3 linked regions of the Coturnix japonica genome follow. The main gene of each other region encodes a partner of the protein of the gene in region 2 in a complex. Links are inferred from orthologs where the notes say so. Each region holds a gene or a part of one and is shown on either strand. Other genes may lie near its edges. The genes, in order: RAB29, LRRK2 and SFN.

Region 1 (5,367 bases), on a different chromosome or scaffold from region 2:
TTGTAGCCCTTCCTCACAGCTTATCTTTCTCAACCCCAGATAACAAAAGGCAATCAGTTCTTGTTCTTACTCTGCATCCACAGATGATGGATGTTCTTAAGGGAAAGTTTTTCTGCCTTTTAATCTTTTGGCACACAGAGATGTAAACTATGAGAGAAAACATCATTGAAGAGCACTTGTTTAAACCCTAACCTCAACACAGGCAGGACACAACTCTATAGCACAGCAGGATGATGACAAGAGCCCACAGTGCTGCATAACTGCAGCCTTCCAGACTGGCCTTCCTTATAGCTCCTCCAAGATAACTCTAATGTGTTCTTACAGTTTGTGGTTGGCAAGAGCCATTCATAGCTAGGCACACCTGGGGGATACATTAGGAAAAGCAGGCACAAAAAAAGCAGCTGGGGAGCAGATTTCTTCATTTCCTTTTGCCCTGCAAAGTCTTTGCTTGCCCCTTAAAGCACTAAACCAGCAGTGGGCTTCCAGCACCAAAGCCTGCCACCAAAGTCACTGCACTGTAATGGTGGGAAGGTGATGCAGCAGCAATTGCAAAGCTTAGTGAGATGGTAGGACGCAGGGTGTGCTAAAAGTGAAAGGAACTGTTGTTCTGGCACACAAAGGAGTTTACAACCCATTCCTCATTCAGCTCCCAGTGTCCTAATAAAGCAGCAGTGGAAGAGAACACATGGGATTGTGCTAGACAGAGGGTAAGAGTGAAGGAACAGAAGGCAACTGGGCAACGCTGACAACTCCGCAGTCAGCACACACATGATTTAGGGCTGTGCTCCATCTCAGATCCACACCTTAAGGACATGGGATGACAGTGCTGAGATGTGTTGGTCTCCAGCAACAGGCAGACAGAGGTGTAAAGTTCCAGAGCACAAAATGAAGGGTTTGCTGTAATCTCACCCCAGGAACCCACAGGAGCAGAGAGAACGATTCAACTTCATGCGCATCAAATGAGGGTTACTGCAGCACTCTGGAATGGTTGCCTCTGTGGATCAGGTGCAGGTCTTGGGGGATAAAAGGTACCAAAGGTGCAACAGCATTAAAAATACACGTTCCACGTCCTTCACCCTGCATGACACAGGCTGTCATATAGGAGAAGATGAAGAAAAGTGCTCAGTGTTTTAAAAGATGAATCCCAGCCATGTGCTTGAGCACAGACTGTGCCGTGCTCCCACTGCTGCTGTGCTGGAAGAAAGAGGGCTCCTTTCCTCACTCTTTCCATTCCTCCTTCCAAGCCATTGCAGCAATGCTTAGTGAGTATGAATGTAAAGAGAGGACAGTTCACTATCTTTGAAAACAGACAAAAAAAGGGGTAGAAAACAGAAGCAGATGGAGCAGTCAGTGCATCAGCAGCACGCCCAGCCCGGCGGGGACGTCTCTTTGATATTAATATAATCCCCCCTCCAGGAAGAAGCAGAACTTCCATCACCAGTGGATGAGGACATCATCTTCTCAATCAGGACTCTGGAAGACAAATAGATGTGAATTAGGGCATTGGAGCACAGAGAAGAACAAAACAAAACAGAACAACAACAGAACCAAAGCAACAACTCCTGGTTGGACACAAAACTCCAGAGCTTTAAGGAGCAGAGGATCAGCTTCCTGGGTACAAGCTGCTTGACCAAGGGCAGCACAGCGTCTGACCTCTCTGAATTCAGTTTCCCTTCAGGAGATTCACTTGCATGTTATTGCTGCTATCTGTTACTTGATGACAGCATCTCCCCTTACCTCAGCCAGCACTGTCTGAAGGAGGGAATTAACTCTTGCAGTGTGCCCCAATTGCTGTTCCTACCTCATAGACTCGTTAATGTTCTTGTTCTCCTTGACGGATGTTTCCACCCAACCAGAAAAGCCATTTTCTTTGCTGAAACGATCCACTTCTTCTCTTGTCACTGCCCACGGGGAAAGGTCACACTGTAAAACAGGAGTCAGCCAGGTGAGGCTCAACCTTTCCATTCCCAAGCTGGGAGGGGAACTGTTGGGCAGTGTTGGGCAGTAGGAGGAGAGCTTTGAATCTCCTCAATCCCAACCTGACACAGAGCTCTCAGGGCAAGGTTCTTCTGGAGGTGTTCAAGGCCATGTTGGATGGGGCCCTGGGCTGGTATTCAGTGTGAGGTTGGTGGCCCTGTCTGTGCTCACCTTGTTGGCCAGCAGCAGGCACGGCACAGGGCTCCCATCTGGAAGCGTCAGCTTGCTGTCCAAGTCCTGCTTCCACTTCTGGCTGTTGCTGAAGGTGCTGACATTGGTGACATCAAACATGATGATACAGGCTGATGCCTCCCTGTAGTACAGCCGGGTCATGGATGTGAAGCGTTCCTGCCCTTCAGGATCAAAAAAAAGACAAAAATCCCCATTTTTAAGTTCCCATTTTTAAGACTTACTCAACCAAATAAGTGCCCACAGCAGGACTTTGCTTCCTCAGCTCCAAACTCCATTTAGGAAACAGAGGTGCACCATAATGAGAAAGCATTTATGCAGCCCCCACTGAGCACTGCATGGGGTGAGGGATTCTGCTTTATCTTCCCAAATATCTTTTCAGGACCCTTTGATTTTTAATGCACTTCTCAGCACTGAAACTGAAATCTGCTTCTTTGCTGCAATCCCTTCCCTGCAAACTTCTCCTTCCTGTTTTCTTTATGAAGATCCCAGACACCCAAACCCAAAGCCCTGCATCCCAACCTGCTCTGCACCCTAAAATCCCACCCATCCCAACACATGGATGGATGGAGCCTCATCCCCACCTGGATGCACTTTAGGGCTCTATATGAACATACCTGCAATGTCCCACAGCTGAAGCCGCACCGTCTCCGACTCAGACCACTGGACCACCTTCAGTGCAAAGTCCACTGTGAACCCCCATAGGAAAAGAAACTCCTTTAAGGATTAAATCATCAGAACCCCCCCCCCCCCCAACTCTTTACAGCTTCATTTACATCCACGTTACACAAGGAACCACCGAGCTCACCCATCCCAACCCCCCCCTCAAGGCTGTGCTCACCTCCCACAGTAGATTTGTAGTGCCGGTTGAAGCTGTCGTTGGCGTAGCGCTGCACCAGCGATGTTTTACCCACCGTAGCATCCCCGACCACCAGCACTTTAAACATTCGGTCCCTCTGCCCCATCTTTCTATCCCCCCCCCCCCCAAAACCCACCCCCTCCTCCCTCCCCCCACCCTCGGGTGCAGCGATCACGTGATGGTCAGGCGGAACAGCGCAGTTCCGGAGCTTGTTGGGGCGGGGAAAGATCGGAATAGAACGGAATGGGGTGGAATAGAACGGGACAGAACGGAATGGGATGGAATAGAACGGGACAGAATGGAATAGAGCCGCATGGAACAGAACGGGAGACGACAGGATAGAATAGAACGGGATAGAATAGCACAGAATGGAACGGCACAGAGGGCATCCCACCAAGCCTGCCCTACTGTCTAACCACCCCCATAGGACAGCCCTTATTGCTTCCTGACCCCCCCATACACAGCTCTATGCTGCTCCCATTCAGTCCATAGGAGCACAGAACCAACCCCCCCCCTCCCCCCCCCAGGGCTGTTATCAGTGCTGCAAAACTGTGTGCTTCTAAGCTGCTCCTGAGATGGAAGAAAGAAGGGCACCCAAGTCCGCATAAATAAATGTCATCTTTATTTAAGGAAATATAATTTATCAGCAGTTGACATCCGTCAATCCAGTTACAGTAGCTATAAATAATTAAGACAAGTCTTTGCTTTGTTTTTTCTTTAATACAAAGAGAGCTCAACCCGGCGTTTCTCATTTGCAGTCAGCTGTAAGGTGGGCTGTGCAACCGAGTGCAAGTGATGGGTAAAGCTTTTGGCTGTCCATGTGCTGAGATGCTAAATGAGATCCTGCCCCATCCCATTCACCCCACAGCACCTCAGCACCCATAGGAGACCATGGGAGATCCTCCCTCTGACACCACTGCTTTCTCAGGGAACCAAACCCTGGCATCACAGCACAGAGCAGTAATGGCACGGCCATACACAAACATGGCAGCAGAAGGAAATCTCACATCCCACCCCTCAGCATCAGGCAGGGATAGGAGGTGAGAGCAGAGGATGCTGGAGGAGCCCCCAGGCTCAGACTTCTTGCTTTGGGGTATGAGTTTGGTTGGTTGTTCTGATGTTTTGGTTTTCCTTTGTGTTTTCGTGCAGAGCTGTGGCTGAATCAGACCTGCGAGCAGCCAAAGTCAACTACAGGAGACAGAAGGAGGGTCAGAGCTACTGCCACTAAGGGGACAGCACAGAGATGGAGAGGGGGAAGGCGAGCCTCACATCAGCAAGGTGAGGAGGGGAGCATTGCCTCTTTGTGCCAGAAATGCTGAAGGTAACCTAAGGGAGGAACTGAAGCCATTCAAGACAGAAGAAGAAAAGCAGCAGCCTGTAGGTGACCCCAGATCCTGCAGCTCTCAGGTGATGGCCCTGGATCTGCAGGCAAAGAGGAAATGCAGCAGCACAAAAGGCACAGGGCTGCAGTGTGAGCTCTGGTCCTTTAAGGGCATCTCCCTGTGCTTTGGGCACTGCAGCACCAAAACTGGGTCCCATGGGACACTATGATCCCCACCCCTACCAACATTAGGAGCTCTCTCCCATGCATGCAGTTTGCATCAGAGCCTGCTGAGCACATCATTGAGTGAAGCTTCCAAGTCAATAAGACTCGCTTAAATAAACTGTGCTCAGCTCACTGAATTGATTTATATCCAAATGGGAAAAGTAAAAAGCTCTGACAGCACCCAGGAAGGTGATTGTATTACAAACGCCTCAGTCACACAACCAGAACTGGTTTTCTCTCATTATGCTGCTGCATGAGAATCCCCCCGGGGAGCACAGGTGGAGGAACGGCAGGTTTTCCTGGCCACCTCCCAGCTGGGCAACACAAAAAGCAGGAGGGAAACAAGGCTCACAGTGCTCAGCCCCTCTGCTGGCATGCTGGGCTGTCACCAACCCCAGGCTGCAAGTGCAGCTTGAAGCAAGCAGGGTGCTCTGCTGAGAGCCACATAGAGTGCTGCGCTGACAGTGCATGGCTGCACAAGTCAGGCTGTGCTGCTGACCTGTTTTCCTGCTTCCTCCTACGCATACAGGGAAAGCCAAAGGCTGAACACAGATGGCATCTTCTAAGAGACAGCAGCAGCAATGATGCTCCCGAGTTTCATACTCAGCAAGGGAAGGTACTGAGCAGCTCCTGCCCAGCTGCAGCTGGAAGCAATCCTGAATGCACAAAAGTGGATCAACTCTGGACCAGAGAGCTGCATGTTTTGGGAGCAAAGCACAGGTGAGGGGGTGCAGGGAGAAAACACGAGGGAGGAGGGTCACAGGACAGAGAAAACAGGAGATCCCCATGTCCTCAC
Region 2 (4,216 bases):
GTAAATCATGTTTGACTGCTGACCTCTCTCTGTTCAGGTAGTTTTTGGAGCTGTAATTCTGATCTGGGTAAATCCTGCTCTGAAGTTATGGGCCTTTTTCCTGAGCTTGTAATACAGTGTTTGATTTTATACTAATAAAGAGAATTATTCTAGGAAATGAATTTGCTTTGGAAAATAACATGTTAATATAACAGAAGAAACCTAAACTTCGGTAGAATTCAGTTCAGTGGCAAGATGAACAGCATGTCAGAGGGATACTTCAAGCTTTGTAGGAGCAAAACTGTGTGCAGCTTAGGAAATGAAATTGTCAGGAACAAGTAACATTAGGGAAAGCAGCAGTGTTGCTGAGTCTGTTGTCAGGTGTCTGTGATTTGGAGCTGCTCTCCGAGATAAACTGAAGAGGCAGTGGAATAAGATAACTCTGATTAATTACAGGGCTAGCAATTGTTTGATGTGTAGATTTGGCATTAGAGCCAAATTCGTATGTAGAGAAAAGCAGACCAAAAGGCAGCTGGCTGCACTGAGATGAGCAGAGCAAAGTGATCTCAATCTTATTGCTGCTTTTTAGGCTGAGTCATCCTTGGTAAGTGACCTTTATGGTCTTGTGGGCCCTGCAGCAGCTGTCAGGCAGCTTCAGATATTGAAAAGGTGGTTAAAAAAAAAAAGGTGGAGTTTGCCTTGCTGTGATGTGAGTATTTGTGATTTGAGCAGATCGGTAGGAGAGATTTGGAATACATCTCCAGGGAGATCAACCTCACTGCTGTGAGAATTCACAGCAAAGTGCAGGAAGGTTTCAGCGAGCCCTTGCAATTGTATCCCAGCCCACTTGGGATTTAAGGCTGAACTATTCTCCTTAGAGTTACAGACAACTCGATTATAGTCAGGGCTTTTTTTTTTCTGCTGGATGTTTCCTGTGATTCTGACTGGAGTTCTTTTCTCTTCTAGGTTCTGTCATAACGCTTACAGTGATGCAAACATTATTTCCATAGCAGTAGATAAATCCATCTACTTGGCAAAGAAAAACAGCCATTTTGTGGAAATCTGGGACAAGAAGACGGAAAAACTTTCTGAACTAATTGACTGTGCACATTTTCTGAAGTAAGTCCTTTTTTTCCAACTGACGACCTGTTGCACAGAAAGCTGACTTAAGGTTGCCTTCTCCAGTGCACTGATATGATGTGCTTGATATATATACCTCATGTTTCTGGAGATAAGGGGCTTGCCCAGATCATTAGGAGGATTTCTTTTCTCTCTTCTGGAATTTCATTTCTCTAAGACCTTTATATATTTCACAAGCTGTGATTTCAAGAAGATTAATTTAACTCTACTGAAGAAGAAAGTCTTTTGCTGTCCTTAGCTGATCAGGTAAGATAATGATGCCTTGTGCTCAGTTTCGCTGCCTGCATCCCCTAATAAAAAATGTCCTCTCCTTACGTCAGAGTTTTAGTAGCAGTGACAGCAATTTACATTTGCCTTTAAATTGTTCCTCTTCCTTAGTGTTCTATTTCCATTTGATTTTTATGGTGACGCCTAGGAGGAGCTTTACGTGTACTCCTCCTCCTCCCACAAACTGAGGGAAAACAGAGAAGTGAAGCTGCCTCCTATTTAAAGACATTTTCCAGCACGCTGTCTGGCTCTTAGAAGTCCAGTAGTTTTCATCTCAGATTGTTTAAATTAAATCAGAATGAGCTATTTGCAGTTGTCTTGATGAACGATCATTTAAAAGGCTGGCACTGAGGGAGACGTTCTGGCAGCTATGGGATGGGTGCCACCAAAATTTAATACAATTTCTCTCCACGCTTTTAGGGATGAAGTGGAAAAACTGAACAAAGAATCAAAGCATAAAGTTGCTTATTCTGGAAGAGTGAAGACAATTTGCCTGCAGAAAAATACTGCACTGTGGGTAGGGACAGGAGGAGGACATATCCTGCTACTTGATTTATCAACACGTCGCCCTGTACGGGTTATAGATAACTTCTGTGACTCTATTCGAGTCATGCTAACAGCTCAGCTAGGTAAGTAAAGCCATCAAATGACAAGCACTTTGAAATTGGGGCCAAGATTAGGATCACTGGCTTCTGTCTGATGTGGTGTTCCAGGAACAGATTAGCATTTTCCGTGTGCTGTTCATTCATACTATTCTACTGCTGTCAACTTCACTCTGTGTCAGACAGACCAGTGTTAGATGAATACCAACAGGCTGCCATAGAAAGTAACAGCTCTCCTCTGGCTTATCACTGGTCAGCACAAGAACACACCCACCCTCACTGTATCCTTTGTGCCATGCTTTGTCATAGCTCTCACTGTCCTCTGTCCTATAGGCATTGTCTTAATCTCTGTCTGTCTGTGTTGATTCCCCATCTTAAGTTTTGTGCTTCTGGTTTCTCTCCTGGTGAAGCTCTCCTGATAGCTACAGTATTAGTGCTGTAAAGGGACTCTTATTTTTAGTGTTTTGTACAGATAGATAGAATAGTTACTATAAAAATAAGGTTTCTGCCTCGCGTTATTCTCATTGATAGGACGATTATATCCTATAAAGTAATATGGTGTGACTTAAGCCTTGAGTCTCATATGCTTGGCTTCCAGACTACATGGCATTTTTAATCAAAATTTTATTGAGAGAAAAATTAATACTTCATGAGAAATAGATTGGTTGCATTTGCACACAACTCAAGGATGGCAAGGGGCTGATCCCTGCCGTTTGATGTGTACTTTTTCCTTTTGATCATTTTCTCGCAGCAATTATTTATAAAGGCCGGGCTTTTCTCCTACATTCAAAGACTTTGTAAGCACAGAAGCCCTGGAAATGGTGCCATGGCTGCTGAACCCTTCTTCATTTTAACTTGAAAATATATAATGGCAATGTAACTATTTTCAGAAAAAAAGGGATTTTGTTGAGATATCAATTTTGTCTTCAGTTTATGTATGGATTAGTGAATGTGCCTTTTTCTAACTCTGTCACTTGACAATTCACATATGACACACAAGACATCATCCTTAGAGGACAGTTTATATGTAAGTATCTGTAGTATCTGGCGCTTTCTGCTGACCATTGGAACGGTGTTTGCAGCCTCTTCTGCCTTCACTGTGATGCCTGTTTTCTGCGAGTGCTGCCTCTGCACATGGTCAATAGCAGGGTGCTTTCTTCTTAGGCTCGTTCAGCAGGCTGAACAGCTGATCCAGGCTTTGAACTCTGGTCAACCCCTACATTAAACAGAGACATTAACTGTATTGTTTATTTTCATGTTGGTTTTTTTCCTCACGGTGGATGACTGTGAATAAAGGGCCCAAAGCAAAACTGTGGTTTCTGTCATCTTAGCAGCGTTTGTAAGATCCTCTTTCTGTCCTTCAATTACAAACCTCCCATCAAAATTAAAATCTGACCTTTTCTTTCTTTGCAAAAGGGAGCCTGAAGAACGTGGTGGTGGTTCTGGGATACTGCTACAAGAGCGACACCGAAGATGACAAATATCACAAAGGTACCTGAACTGTGCTTTATTAATTTGTATTATTAGTGAAGCAGAAACTATGACGCTCGGCCACCCTCTGAGGTGTGTTTGGAGAGCTGGCGATCAACATTTGATCTACTCTTTTGAAAATTATTATTCGTTTTTGTCATTGGTTATGTTTCTGGGCTCCATACAAACAATTCAGTTGCCTGAATTGATCGGATGAAGCTACTCTTTGGAGGGCACATAATTTTCTAGAAAACTCTATTTGGAGAATAACTGCCCATGTCTAATTGTGGAGCGTGTCAAACGGGTTTCGAGAGGGGCCTCCAGGAATACTCAGTGTTATGGTGAATGATGTGGATGAAGGAATAACGCGTCTGCTTTTCATGTTGGCAGACAGCACTTAGCTCAGAGGAGCCACGAGCACAGTGGAGGACAGGACCGGAATTCACTGCAACCTTGACAGATAGAACAAATGGTCTGGAAGGAATAGGATACAGTTCAGTAAGGACAGATGTGAGACCTCAAACGTAATTAGGAGGGATCAGCTGTACCAACAGGAGGAAATGGTCGGCTTAAGCAGTGGTGCTGAAAATAAGGTTTATTTTGATCACACGTGGAACATGAGTCAACAGCGTCATGTTCCTGCAGAAGGGACAAAAACCTTTCTTATGCCAATAGAAAAGTGGCTTCTCTAAGACATGGGAATTAATTCCTGTGCTCTGCTGAGCTCTGATAAGACCTCTGCTGCAGGAGTGCATCCA
Region 3 (4,360 bases), on a different chromosome or scaffold from region 2:
CCCACGGCCCCATCCTCCCCACCGCAGGGTCGTGCCTCAGTTTCCCCATACCCAACACTGGACCGTGCCAAAGCACAGCTCAGCACTATGTCCCCAATGTCCCCAAGTGAAGACCCCGTTGAACCGGCACACCCTGAGTCACTCGGCTTCCTCCTGCCACCCCATTTCCCATCAAAGCCGGGTCCTGCCCAGCACGGCCCAGCCCTGCTGCTCTCCATCTGATGAGCTCACGGCCCAGGCTGCCAGGACTGGATTTCAGTGTAATTAACTGTTCGTGTTGAAACTCGCGCTCCCAGAGCTGCACCCTTCGCTGTGGCTGAGAGCCAGGGCCAGAAGTGCTGAGCTTTCTCCAGCGCCGGCACATCCACACCTCCATGGGGATGTCCTCACCTCGGTGGGATGCTGTCACCTCCCCTGTGACAGCTCCGTGTCAGTGCTGGAGGGGAAGAGCTGAAACATCCCCCTGTCTGCACGGAGCCCCAGTAATGGGGTTTGGGACACTGTGGGTTGCGTGGTTTGGGTGGGGACACCATGGGGATGGAGATATCATGGAGGTGGGGACATCAAGATGGGGATGGGGACATTGTAGGGATGGGGACATCATAGGGATGGGAAGACCATAAGGGTGGAAACATAATGAGGATAGGGACACTATGAGGATGGGGACACTATGGAATGGGGACACCATGGGGATGGAAACCCTACGGGGATGGAAATACTATGGGGGTGGGGACACCATAGGAACATCTTGGGGATGAGGACAGTACAAGAATGGGAAAACCAAAGGGATGGAGACACCATGGGAATGGGGACATACAATTGCAGGGCTGGAGACCTGGGACATACTCTCCCTATGGAAAACCCACCTAGAAAGCCCATTCTGAGACCCGTCCCTGAGGTCTGGGGCTGGCTGAGTACCCCCACACCCCATGGCGGGGCTGGGAGGGGCTGCAGGCAGCCAGACCTGCACTTTGGAGGCCCCGAGTGCTCCCCAGCATGGCGTGGCACGCAATGGGACCGGCTGTGGGAGCTGCAGGAGCTGCCTGGGCTTGTGCACGACAGGAGAGATGAGGCGACCACAGAGGCAGACGTGCACGAGATGGTTTATTGGAGCCACACAGAGGCTTCGGCAATTCGCAATCCTCCATCCGGGTGGGGGGCACATCAACCCCCCCCCTCCCCTTTCTCCCCATCCCGTCCCATCACCTCCTCCCATTGCCCCCAAGGGACCAGCGGCACGGCTCTAGCCCCCCAAGACAGAGGGCTAGGGCCCCCCCTAAGCTACGCTGGGGTATCCCCCAAACAAAGTGTTAAAGGGGTGAGGGGAGCATGACAAGAACATGGGGGGGGGGAGAAGGAAAGGGGAGGCCCTGCCAAAGGGCAAACATATGGACCCCACTCCCAGAACTGGAGGGGGGGTAAGGGTGGGGGGGCGAAATACCTTCCCCACTCCTTAAAAAAGGAACAAAACAAAAGGAAAAGACACCGAAGGGCTTCGGGAAGGGGAAGGGGAAAGGGGGGGGAGTCTGGGAGGGAGGGGAGGAGGAAGGAGGTGGGGGATGGACCCCAGCTGCATTGGGGGCCGTTCAGTTCTTGGGCTCTTCGCCAGCCTCGCCGCCGTCTTCACCCGCGCACTCGGCTGTCCATAGCGTCAGGTTGTCCCTGAGCAGCTGCATGATGAGGGTGCTGTCCTTGTAGGAGTCTTCGCTGAGCGTGTGCAGGTCCCCCATGGCCTCGTCGAAGGTGGTCTTGGCCAGCGAGATGGCCTGCTCGGGGGCGTTGGCGATCTCGTAGTGGAAGACGGAGAAGTTGAGGGCCAGCCCCAGGCGGATGGGGTTCGTGGGCTGCATCTCCTTTTTGCTGATGTCCATGGCCTCTTGGTACGCCTTCTGGGCGCTGTCGATCGTCTCCTTGCGGTCGTTGCCGGAGGCCACCTCAGCCAGGTATCGGTAATAGTCTCCCTTCATCTTCAGGTAGAACACTTTGCTCTCTGCATCTCCGGCCTTCTTGATGAGGTGCTTCTCCAGCAAGCCCAGCACCACGTTGCAGACGCCCTTCAGCTCCTCTTCCACCTTCTCCCTGTATTCATTCACCAGCTGCGCTTTGTCGTCTCCCTCCTCGGTTTTGTGCTCGATGCTGGAGATGACCCTCCACGCCGAGCGCTGGCAGCCCACCACGTTCTTATAGGCGACGGAGAGGAGGTTGCGCTCCTCGTTGGACAGCTCGTCTCCATGCTCCACCACCGCCTTCATGAAGTCCGCCATGTCCTCATAGCGCTCAGCCTGCTCGGCCAGCTTGGCTTTCTGCACTTGGTGGTTTCTTGCCATGGCTGAGGGCGGATGAGGAGCAGGATGAGACGAGGAGTGGGGCCGGGAGCCGTCGGAGCCTCTGCTGAGCTTCACCGCCCCGATTCGCTTTTGGCTGAGCGTCGGAGCCCCGAGCAAGAGCAGGAGGAGCCAACGAGGCTGAAGGAGCGGCCTCCTCCTCCTCTGCTTCCTCCCCGCAGAGCCCGCCCTTAAAAAGCAAATTGCCGTGAGTCATCATGCCCCGAGGCACAGGGTGATGGGGAAGGGGTGAGCGGGTGGCACCCACCCTGCCCTGGATCAGGTGGGTGCCGGGAGGGAGAGGATGTGTTCAGGGAGTTCATGGTGAGCCCCCCCTGTGTCAATGGGATGTCCCACTGGATCAATGGAGAAGTCTGGATCAATGGGACATCCTATGTCAGTGGGAGACTCTGAAACAATGGAGGAGGGAAGATCAACTGGGGACCCCGGATCAATGGGAAACCCCAAATGAATGGGAGACCTAGAATCAGTGGGGACTCCAGATCAGTGGGGGAGCCTGAACCAGTGGGAGAGCCTGGATCAATGGGATACCCAGACCCACGGGAGACCTGGAATCAGTGGGATCCCGAAATCAATGGGAAACCCCAAATACTTGGAAGACTTGGGATCAGTCAATGGGATCCCCAGATCAATGGGGGACCCTGAGTTAATGGGGGAAACCGGATCAATGGGGGACCCCAAATAAATGGGAGACCAGGAATCAATGGAGATCCCAGATCAATGGGGGACCATGGACCAATGGGGGAACCCTTCCCCATCTGCCAGGAGTGCTCAGAACAGGGAGCAGTGGGGTCGTCACATTGGGGTGAAGCAGGAAAGCGGCAGCACCCAGTGCCCCCATCCCAACCACCCTTAGAGAAACAGCACGGGGAATAAACCTGGCTGTAAAAATGGTCTCCTCCCCAAAAATCCCATCGCTGTCATTTTTATATGATGATTAACTTGTCGGTGATTGCAAGGGCTTGAAGGGCTGGTATTTATTCCCACTGGTGGGGAAATCGAGGCAGGAGGAGCAGCACGTTACCCCAGCACTGCTGCAGGGATCAGGGCCAGGATTGGGATTGGGGCATTCCCAACTCCTCCACCCTGCCTGCTCAGGGGGAATTGCCCTGGCACTTGCAAGTACTCAACCCCAACCCCCCCATTGAACCATCATTGGACATCCCCAAACCCAAGGCAGCTCCACACCCACAAACCCCACTGGATCCCCATTAAGGCTTCTCCACCACCCATCCCCATGTCCCCCACCCTCTCCGCTCATCCCACCGGGGCTCTTTTCTCTCCCTTTACGCTGTACTGGAAGAATTGGGATTATTATTCCTTCTTTTTTGTCAGTCTCATTTTGATTCGAGTTCTGCCCAGCAGCGCTGGCGGCCCCGATTAGGATCTGAGCTCGGCGTTGCGCTGCAGTTTCGCTCTCAGCCTGTTCCCACACGCCGGCACAGGGCAGGGTGCGGCGGGCAGCACGTGGGGATGGAGCCAAGGGCTTCACCAGCGCTGTGCCAGCACCCTCAGCCCCATCCCTGACATCCTCTCCCCATTGGGGTTGCTCAGGGCTGGCAGCTCTTGGTCCCAAGCTTATGCGGTCCCAGTCCCCATCCAGCCACATGGTGGGGGCTGTTGAGTTTGGGGCTCAAAGTGGACCCCCCGTGAGCACTGCTCGACCTCATGGATGCACAGGGGCTGTGGTTTTGAACAGAATGCACTTCTGCCCCCTACCCCATAGGAGAGACCACAAATGGGGCTGTGTATGGGGGCAGGTCCCCCCCAGGGCACAGCATGGAGCTCGTGGGTTTGGGTGCTGCCAGAAGCACCGAGCTGCTGCCAAATGTTGGTGGCAAAGAGCTGAGCAGGAGCTGCAGAAATATTCTGCTCTACTGGTTTTGGTGTGAGTTAAGGGGGGGTGAAGGAAGAGCCCCAGCTCTGTGCCCTGCTGGGGAGGGGTCAATGGCCACCCACCACCCTCAGAGCACCCATGAACTCACACAGCTGCAGTGAGGGATGTGGGATGGAGC

What was found.
Region 1: the proteins of LRRK2 (region 2) and RAB29 are in contact, whole or in part, in a cryo-EM structure (PDB 8FO2), measured with the Homo sapiens proteins. The link is inferred for Coturnix japonica from reciprocal best matches to the Homo sapiens genes LRRK2 and RAB29. Residues at the interface, in NP_940980.4 of Homo sapiens: Arg361, Lys362, Arg399, Met402, Leu403, Leu406, Met407, His408, Leu437, Ser438, Lys439, Gly440, His442, Leu443, Asn444, Glu447; in NP_001129134.1 of Homo sapiens: Leu7, Val42, Asp43, Phe44, Ala45, Leu46, Arg58, Gln60, Trp62, Leu76, Tyr77.
Region 3: the proteins of LRRK2 (region 2) and SFN are in contact, whole or in part, in a crystal structure (PDB 5MYC), measured with the Homo sapiens proteins. The link is inferred for Coturnix japonica from reciprocal best matches to the Homo sapiens genes LRRK2 and SFN. Residues at the interface, in NP_940980.4 of Homo sapiens: Lys907, Ser908, Asn909, Ser910, Ile911, Ser912, Val913, Gly914, Glu915, Phe916, Tyr917, Arg918; in NP_006133.1 of Homo sapiens: Lys11, Glu14, Glu39, Asn42, Leu43, Ser45, Val46, Lys49, Asn50, Arg56, Arg60, Phe119, Lys122, Arg129, Tyr130, Pro167, Ile168, Gly171, Leu174, Asn175, Val178, Tyr181, Glu182, Asp215, Leu218, Ile219, Leu222, Asp225, Asn226, Leu229.

Annotation. Positions count from the first base shown.
Region 1 is NC_029541.1:2,558,106-2,563,472, forward strand, and holds the start of RAB29 (ras-related protein Rab-7L1), read right to left. Parts: upstream 3,156-5,367; 5' UTR 3,132-3,155; coding exon 3,008-3,131; intron 2,856-3,007; coding exon 2,784-2,855; intron 2,331-2,783; coding exon 2,149-2,330; intron 1,924-2,148; coding exon 1,802-1,923; intron 1,474-1,801; coding exon 1,356-1,473; 3' UTR 1-1,355. UniProt on the Homo sapiens protein: The small GTPases Rab are key regulators in vesicle trafficking. Essential for maintaining the integrity of the endosome-trans-Golgi network structure.
Region 2 is NC_029516.1:13,457,315-13,461,530, reverse strand, and holds part of LRRK2 (leucine-rich repeat serine/threonine-protein kinase 2), read left to right. Parts: intron 1-945; coding exon 946-1,098; intron 1,099-1,806; coding exon 1,807-2,015; intron 2,016-3,404; coding exon 3,405-3,479; intron 3,480-4,216. UniProt on the Homo sapiens protein: Serine/threonine-protein kinase which phosphorylates a broad range of proteins involved in multiple processes such as neuronal plasticity, innate immunity, autophagy, and vesicle trafficking.
Region 3 is NC_029538.1:1,604,722-1,609,081, reverse strand, and holds SFN (14-3-3 protein sigma), read right to left. Parts: upstream 2,481-4,360; 5' UTR 2,328-2,480; coding exon 1,587-2,327; 3' UTR 1,088-1,586; downstream 1-1,087. UniProt on the Homo sapiens protein: Adapter protein implicated in the regulation of a large spectrum of both general and specialized signaling pathways. Binds to a large number of partners, usually by recognition of a phosphoserine or phosphothreonine motif.